Linked DNA regions of Kluyveromyces lactis. The protein of the gene in region 2 interacts with the protein of the main gene of each other region in a pairwise test. Links are inferred from orthologs where the notes say so. Each region holds a gene or a part of one and is shown on either strand. Other genes may lie near its edges.

What was found.
Region 1: the proteins of SNU13 (region 2) and NOP56 interact in binary tests that used the Saccharomyces cerevisiae proteins (3 or more experiments, as listed by UniProt). The link is inferred for Kluyveromyces lactis from reciprocal best matches to the Saccharomyces cerevisiae genes SNU13 and NOP56.
Region 3: the proteins of SNU13 (region 2) and NOP1 interact in binary tests that used the Saccharomyces cerevisiae proteins (3 or more experiments, as listed by UniProt). The link is inferred for Kluyveromyces lactis from reciprocal best matches to the Saccharomyces cerevisiae genes SNU13 and NOP1.

Annotation. Positions count from the first base shown.
Region 1 is NC_006040.1:1,043,638-1,047,168, forward strand, and holds NOP56 (snoRNP complex protein NOP56), read left to right. Parts: upstream 1-1,439; coding exon 1,440-2,981; downstream 2,982-3,531. Other genes in the region: SWI1 (Swi1p), read right to left, coding at 1-890; PBA1 (Pba1p), read right to left, coding at 3,333-3,531. UniProt on the Saccharomyces cerevisiae protein: Required for 60S ribosomal subunit synthesis.
Region 2 is NC_006041.1:2,008,775-2,011,138, forward strand, and holds SNU13 (RNA binding protein SNU13), read left to right. Parts: upstream 1-1,387; coding exon 1,388-1,768; downstream 1,769-2,364. Other genes in the region: GEF1 (Gef1p), read right to left, coding at 1-783; putative E3 ubiquitin-protein ligase HUL4, read left to right, coding at 2,226-2,364. UniProt on the Saccharomyces cerevisiae protein: Common component of the spliceosome and rRNA processing machinery. In association with the spliceosomal U4/U6.U5 tri-snRNP particle, required for splicing of pre-mRNA.
Region 3 is NC_006039.1:400,121-403,060, reverse strand, and holds NOP1 (rRNA methyltransferase NOP1), read right to left. Parts: upstream 1,641-2,940; coding exon 633-1,640; downstream 1-632. Other genes in the region: trans-2-enoyl-CoA reductase (NADPH) TSC13, read left to right, coding at 2,471-2,940.

The DNA.
Region 1 (3,531 bases), on a different chromosome or scaffold from region 2:
CTGCAATGTTCCAAAAATGATTTTCTAAATAGTTCAAACTGTTTGGTGTTTAATTCCTGACCGACTTTCCGTTGAATGGCTGGATCTAGATTTTGTAGAACGTTTCTTTGGTTATTAGACTGATTCTGTACTTGAGGCGCATGTTGTTGCATTCTCGCCTGTGCTTGCGCTTGTGCTTGTATGTGCGCTTGAGCTTGGGCTTGAGCTTGAGCCTGTGCTTGTGCTTGTGCTTGGGCTTGAGCTTGAGCTTGTGCTTGAGCCTGTGCCTGCGCTTGAGCCTGTGCTTGTTGCTGCTGTTGTCTTAGTTTCTGCTGCTGTAATTGGTTGAATGCCTGCTGTTGTTGCAACATCTGTAGCTTTTGTTGCTGTTGCTGTTGCCTCTGTTGATGCGCAGCAATTATTGCGGCTCTATCCATATACTGAGGGCTCTGTCTACTAGCACTCGCCTGAGCTAAAGACTCATCGGCCATTGTAGGGGATCCACTTGGCACATTTTGCGGCGTTCCACGCTGCGATAACATCTGCTGTAAAGAAGTAGTGCCGGCGGGAGACTGCGTCGGTGCTACATTGGCTGTATTCATAGGAATTGGTCCTGCGGCTGGAGAAAACATGGATTGTGGAGAGATAGAGACTCCACCGTTCTTCATCGACGGAGGTGAATTGACAGTTGAGAATGAATTTCTAGCCAATATAGCCTGGGGCGTTACGCCTGCGTTAACATCTTCCATCGGCCCTAAATTACTATCAGGTATACCTTGCTGGTTGGGTGCGCCTGAGTTATCAAGGAAGGAAAGGTACTCATCACCGTTCGAACCTCCTTGACCGAAAAGCTGGCCATCGCCAGAATTCATTGGATCACTCTCGTCCGGGAACAAAAACTGATCGTCCATCCGTATGTACCAATAAAGTTACCGTTTGACCCTTGATATCAGGGGAGAGAAATCACGCCTAAATAAAACCTAAAACAAGGGAATTATATTCATTCTGAAAGTAGTGATAGTCAAGTGTCAATTGAATTCATTGAATACAATTTCGAGTTTCCTTTCGTTGTTTTGTTTTTGGAAAGACAAGAAAATTCCAGGTCACGTGATTTTGTCAATTATTCTATATCCGGGTAATACATTCGATCACGTGTATAACTTACCCGGCCGCGGCCGGGTAAGTAAAATATATTTCCCATTCTGCTTTTCTTTTTCAAGCTCATCGCTCTTTTTTTTTTGTTTGGAAAATTTTCATTTCGAAGCCAATAAAGAGAGATGAGCTTTCTGACCAGTGAATATATTGTATATTGTGTTATGTGCACAGCGATATTTCAATTAATACTTGTCTGTATTATCTTGAGTTTTGTTCATTCATTCCGAAGTTAGTGTGTGTTGAAGAGTCCAGATCAAAGAGATTTTACGGTAGCGAGGAAACTTTATTGATCAGAGAATTAAATAATGGCTCCTATTGAATATCTTTTGTTCGAAGAACCTACCGGGTATGGTATCTTCAAAGTGAAATTGCAACAGGATGATATCGGATCTCGTTTGAAGGAAGTCCAGCAACAGATCAATGATTTCGGCTCTTTCACTAAGTTAGTTGAGTTGGTTTCTTTTGCTCCTTTCAAAGGTGCTGCTCAAGCTTTGGAAAATGCTAATGATATTTCTGAAGGTTTAGTCTCTGAACATTTGAAAGCTTTGTTGGATTTAAATTTACCAAAGGGTTCTTCTAAGAAGACTGTTACTTTGGCTATTTCTGATAAGAACTTAGGTCCATCCATTAAAGAAGTTTTTCCATTTGTTGATTGTATTTCTAATGAGTTAGCTCAGGATTTGATTCGTGGTGTTAGATTACACGGTGACAAATTATTGAAAGATTTACAACCTGGTGATTTGGAAAGAGCTCAACTTGGTTTGGGTCATGCTTACTCTCGTGCTAAGGTTAAGTTCTCTGTTCAGAAAAACGATAACCATATCATTCAAGCCATTGCTCTCTTGGATCAATTGGATAAGGATATCAACACTTTTGCCATGAGAGTGAAGGAATGGTACGGTTGGCATTTCCCAGAGTTGGCAAAGTTAGTCCCAGACAATTACAAGTTTGCTAAACTCGTTCTATTCATTAAGGATAAGGCATCTTTGAACGAAGAATCCTTGCACGATTTATCGGAAATTTTGGATAACGATGCTGGTATCAGTGAAAGAGTGATCGATAACGCTCGTATCTCTATGGGTCAAGATCTTTCTGAAACTGATATGGAAAACGTTACCATCTTCGCTAAGAGAGTTGTCTCCCTTGTTGAATACAGGAAACAATTATACGATTACCTATGTGAGAAGATGCACACTGTGGCTCCAAACTTGTCCGAATTGATCGGTGAAGTTATCGGTGCTAGATTGATCTCTCATTCTGGTTCTTTGACCAATCTTTCTAAGCAAGCTGCCTCTACTGTCCAAATCTTGGGTGCTGAAAAGGCATTGTTCAGAGCTTTGAAGACTAAAGGTAACACACCAAAGTATGGTTTGATTTACCACAGTGGTTTCATCGCTAAAGCTAGTGCTAAGAACAAGGGTAGAATCTCTAGATATTTGGCTAACAAATGTTCTATGGCTTCTAGAATCGATAATTACTCCGATGAACCATCTAACGTTTTCGGTCAAGTGCTAAAGAAACAAGTTGAACAAAGATTGGAATTCTATGCTTCTGGTACCCCAACTTTGAAGAATGAATCTGCTATCAAGGAAGCCATCGAATTGTACAATAAAGATAAGCCAGCTCACGAAGAAGAAGTGGATACGACTGAAGTCTCCAAGAAGAGAAAGCTAGAAGAATCTAACGATGAAGAAGACTCTGAACAAGAAGAGAAGAAGGAAAAGAAGTCTAAGAAGGACAAGAAGGACAAGAAGGACAAGAAGGAAAAGAAGGAAAAGAAGGAAAAGAAAGAGAAGAAAGAGAAGAAGGATAAGAAGGAAAAGAAGAGTAAGAAAAATAAGGATTAGGTTGTGTCAACTTTTCAATCATTTTCCGAAGATTGATCGACTTTATTATTATTTTTTTTCATCATATTTCAGTTTAAACTCGTCACTTTACATTTAACTTTTCACTTTTACATTATTAAGTCATTCCGGTTTCTCATAATTATAAAGCTCTTAATTGCACCTTTAACGCTCCTACTTGTATCCTAAGACAATAAGGAAAACCTCGTGTCTACAAACATGCAACTCATCATTTAACCATTGTTACATATTACATCTGTATATCACCCAAATCATATTTTAATTAGAATACTAGACAATTATCGTCACTAAAAAACAGAACGGGTGTAATCCCAATATTTGATTAAAGACACGTTAAATATATAACCCGCCTTGAGTTGTGGTACATTCGTCAAGTTTCCAAAGCTTTAAGCATTCCGATACATAGTACTCTGTCTGTGACGGGTACGAGCAAAGTAATTTCGACATTTCATCTACTAAAGCATCAACGGTAGGGAAATTATATTTCTCAAAACCAATTGGACCCTCAGAAGGCACAACAATAACTTTGAGT
Region 2 (2,364 bases):
TTCGGATTGTTCTGGGAAGGCCATCTCCTTGCTCAAGAGCCAATTAGTAATTACATAACCACAACAGGTAGCATAGTGAACAGATGGTCCCTCTTTACCAACACTTAAATCAGAAGAAATGGCAAGCGGTAAAGCGACAGATTTTACTATAAGGGTCTTCAAATTCAAAAACTCCGGGGTATATTGGAAACCTGATACCCAGGATTTAATTTCTGAAATACCAGATCCAGTGGCAAACGGTGCAATGTGTAGGACCATCAGACAACTAATAGTTGCAAATGTGACCGATAAGAACATGAATAGCAAAAATGAAAAGATTGGATTGGTTGCTTCTACCCAAATACCTTTTTCGATACATTCGCTTTGGGATCTTTTAAAGAATATTTCTGCGGCATTGCCAGCCGAACTTATTATGGAACCATAACTCCTTTTACTGATCTCTTCTTTAGGACAGCAGAATGCCTTGTTTAACAACCAATTTCTAGCACAATGTCCAGATTTCCAGTTTACTAACAATTCAGTGAATATTTGTAAAAAACCAGCAATACCGCCAATGGAAAGCCCAATGGCAGTCAAAGTAATGAAACTGCTACCTCTTTTCCATATTAACCTGCGGTACTCATACCAACTCGAACGCGGTATATCAAATTCGTCATGCGATGTTCCCTTGGACAATTCACGCTTCTCTTCCTCAATCCAATCCACAGAAGTGAACTTATCGAAATTACCGACTTCTGGTATATTTCGCAGAGCCTGCTCCTCATTTACCTCTTGGTCAGTCATAGCTAGCTATTGCTCATCAATTGGGTCATACCTAAGTCAAGGGCAATACTATGAGTTTATTCATAAATGAGTTGATAAATTTACATATTGTAATACGTACATTTTTCAATACAAAGAAATATGCACCTTTGAAATTAGGTAAAGAACTGAGAGTGAAAGCAGCTCTTCCTGGGGAAGTATGAAGCATACGATGGGGAACAACAACTACAGACTGCGTGTTTTAGACCATAATAGAGTACTATAGCAATGGCGGAGAATGGCCAAATGATCACAATAGGAGGAATGTATATCGTTCTTCTGAATTAATATAGTGAAACAGCCGTACATTACACCAGTTTGTGATCCCATTTGTTTCTTTTTGCTCATCAGTCGAGGAATTCGAAAATTTTCAAAAATTGAAAAACTAAAGAAAATGATTTCAAGAGACTAACCTCATCTCATCTCGTTCCATCTCATCTCACTTTATGATAAAACTTTTTTTAGACTTGGACTTGATCCGATCTTATTTCTAGTCTTAAAACACCAGATTCAAGCGAGCTTTTCATTCTTGCAAGGAACTTGAACTGACCCAATCGGATACTTCACTTCATATTATAAAGAAATAATGTCTGCTCCAAACCCAAAGGCTTTCCCATTGGCTGATGCCACCTTGTCCCAACAAATCTTGGATGTTGTTCAACAAGCTTCCAACATGAGACAATTGAAGAAGGGTGCTAACGAAGCTACCAAGACTTTGAACCGTGGTATTTCCGAATTCATTATCATGGCTGCTGACTGTGAACCTATTGAAATCTTGTTGCACTTGCCATTGTTGTGTGAAGATAAGAACGTTCCATACGTCTTTGTTCCATCCAGAACTGCTTTGGGTAGAGCTTGTGGTGTTTCCAGACCAGTTATTGCTGCTTCTATTACCACTAACGATGCTTCTGCTATCAAAAGCCAAATCTATGCCGTTAAGGACAAGATTGAAACTTTGTTGATTTAAGAAGGATTTGCACATTTCGTGATTTCCTTTTCTTATTCTTTATATCAATCGTTTAAGGAGTTAACCGCTTTGTGGGGGGTTTGCATAGCAAAGAAAAGATTTACTGCACGTTCATTGATTCAAGTGATCGACAGGTAGATTTTTTTTTTACGACCTCTGTATATTAAACATATATATTACAATTAATACAACTTTTTGATACATTTGCATCCTTCTTAACAATGACATCAACATCTGATGGTTCTAGTTAGTGGTCAGTACATAGTTTTTTTTTGTCTGTTCAAATTAAGAAATGGTTACAGGCCTGTGTATTCCAGATGATATTGTCAGTTGGTAAAAAAAAGTAATAAATTTGACACAATCTTTTGTGCTTTCGACTATCCAACCCTAAATTTACAAGTTTGTTGAAATGAACTTAGAGGAAGAAGTCTGACTGTCCATCAGTAGCTGCTCGAATATGTTCAAGTTTAACCCATTACACATTGTTGGTAGGGAAAAGATAAAAATCCGCTATCAAAGTTCGGATAGGTTGGATTGTGAAGACCCGCCAAAATTTAGGGAAACTCGATGTAGATGTTGCGGAACCTTGTTACGAC
Region 3 (2,940 bases), on a different chromosome or scaffold from region 2:
TGATGTCGATTAAAGATAAAAGAAACAAAGAGTTTGTCAACAGATGCACAGATGGACCGTATTATGGTATCGTAACCCGTATGGGGTTATATCCTTTAATTCACTGCTACCAGACATGATTTTCTAGAACGTATGGTTGTTATTGATATATATAAGTTATATATAGTATGTGATAATAATAATAATATATCTACAAATTAAATGTACAAAATAAGGTTAAGAGTGTTCGAGTATTAATACCGTTATTGTGAAAATGGGTTCTTTTGTATTGTCAAGTTGATGAACAAGGTTTTGAAATCTTCTTCTATTCTTTTCCCGTCAGTTAGTCGATCTCCTTTGAACAGGCGAAGGACCTGGACTGTAAGTAAAAGAAACACACAGAGTGACAAAATACAAGTGAAGACGAAGTGGAGACTTTTCTAGTTTGTAGAACTTTATCACGAATCAATGAGATGCAAAATTTCAAATAATATTATAGTGTTAATGATTGTATTGGAATGAAGGTTTTTAAAACTAAAAAGTAAGCAAAAAAAGATTAGAAGCCAAAAAAAAAAGATTAATAGAAGGAATCATGAACCAAGTAGGCATACTCTAGCATTGGTTTCAAAATATCAATATTTCTTTAGCAGCTCTTATAATCCACTTCTCATGTATTTACCGATAACGATACAATGGTCTCTTTCATAAGGTTCCAAAGTCAATTGTTCCAAAGGCTTAATCTTTTCTTCTCTCAATTTTTGAACTTCTCTAGCGAACACAGTTTCAGCATCAACAGTAGAATCGATACAGTTAGCCTTGATAGAGATAACGACACCACCTTGATCCTTCAAGAACATATGAGAGTTCAAAGCAATAATACGGGCTTGATCAGGTTGAGCAACATCTGCGAAGACGGCGTCAACCATACCGATAAGCATTCTGTATTTTTGTGGATGTCTAGCATCTTCAATAATTGGGATAACATTTGGTCTCTTCTTAGCCATAGAGATCAATTCTCTACCTGGTCTGTGAGAGAACTCAACAGCGTAAACCAACCCTTCTGGACCAACGACATCGGAAACGTGGGACACAGATGTACCGGAAGCAGCACCTAGATATAGAACCTTCTTACCTGGAGCAATGAATAGTTCATCCAAACCACCCATGATACCGGCAGCCAATTTGGATCTGAAAGGATTCCAAACACGGTATTCCACCTTAGTTGGTGGGACACCTTCTTCAGTGGAAGGTTCTTCAACTGAAACTCTCTTTTCACCGTACACAGATTCACCTGGAGCGATGTTCTTTGTGACCAAAAGATCTTCTTTACCTCTGGCAATAAAAACACCAGCATGCTTATGAGGTTCGATAACAACCTTAGCACCACCACGGGCACCACCACGAGCACCACCACGAGCACCACCACGAGGACCACCTCTGGAACCACCACGGGCACCACCAAATCCACCTCTGGAACCACCGCGAGCGCCACCACGAGGACCACCACGACCACCACCGAATCCACCTCTGGAACCACCACGGGAACCACCGAATCCACCACGGCCACCGCCAAATCCACCTCTGGAACCACCTCTGGAACCACCGCCGAATCCACCACGGGAACCGCCTCTGCCACCTCTAGAACCTGCTTGGAATGCCATTATTATTCTTAACTAGTTGGGAATTATCTGTCTTGAGATATAATGATTATGCTGCTGTTGCTGCTCTTGATCTTCTTCTCTCTAAATTGGACAAAGGAAAAAAAAAGAATTAAAATTGTGAATCAGTAACAGGTATTGTCGTTGACTTTGAAACAGAATCCTGGACGGCTGTAAAACTCTTCTAAAATGGGTAGATTATAGGAACAGAAAACGTACACAATACTATTCTATAAACAATTGATTACTTCTTTCAAGCAAGAACAACTTAATAAACTCTTACTTTACATTCGATGAGATGAGCTTTCGAAACTTTTTTTTTTCAGCTGAAAAATTTTGAATGAAAAAACAATATTAAATTTCTTTTTCAAAGTTCTCATCTTTGGTCTTTCTGTGCCTCTTGGTACGTACAGAACGATGAACGTTAAAGTCACATGACTATTGTCACATCTGTATCACGTGATATGAATTGATTATATAATCATATGAATCTACAACTTTTCAAGATTTTTTTTTGCTATGTTGAGCCAGATACTTGCTACAATGCGTACGTTTACTAAGGATTTCTATACAAGTTTTTCATAGTCAACATTGCGAAAATATGCAGATGAGATCATTTTTGGTTGTTGTTGTGAATATCGGTATCTTTATAAAAGCAGATAAAAAATCAGAGAAGTGGAACCAGCTTTGACTTTTGTACGTTATAGCAATCAGAATCTGAATTAGTATATCTGGATAAATTTTCTGGTTTAGTTTTGAGATCCTATTTTCCAAACTATCGCTGTATATTTTAATCCGACAGTTGAAGATATTACCTAGATAAGTGTCCCTTTATGTCTGCATCCAGTTCAATTTTTATTAAATCACGCTCAAAGAGCTTAAAAGACGTCAAGTTGGAAGTTCCAACAGAAAATACGTTGACATATCAATCTGTTTTGCAACAGATTTCGAAAAGCAATCACAATATTAGCGTTAACAGGTTAAGGTTAAGCTATCTGAAAGAAGGTAAGCAAGTCGCCATTGGGCCCTCTGAATTGAACGATGTTGGTAAGAAAAACACGTTCGATTCAGTTAACGAGTGGTATGTTAAGGATTTGGGTCCGCAGATCTCTTGGAGACTGGTGTTTTTCATCGAATATTTGGGTCCGATCTTGATCCATTCTTTAGTTTACCTTTTGTCTTTAAACGCAACAGTTAGGGACAAATTTCATTCTAAAAATGTTCCATATAACGATTTCTTCAATAAGTTCATCTACCGTCTGATTATGGTCCATTATCTAAAGAGAGAATTCGAAACATTGTT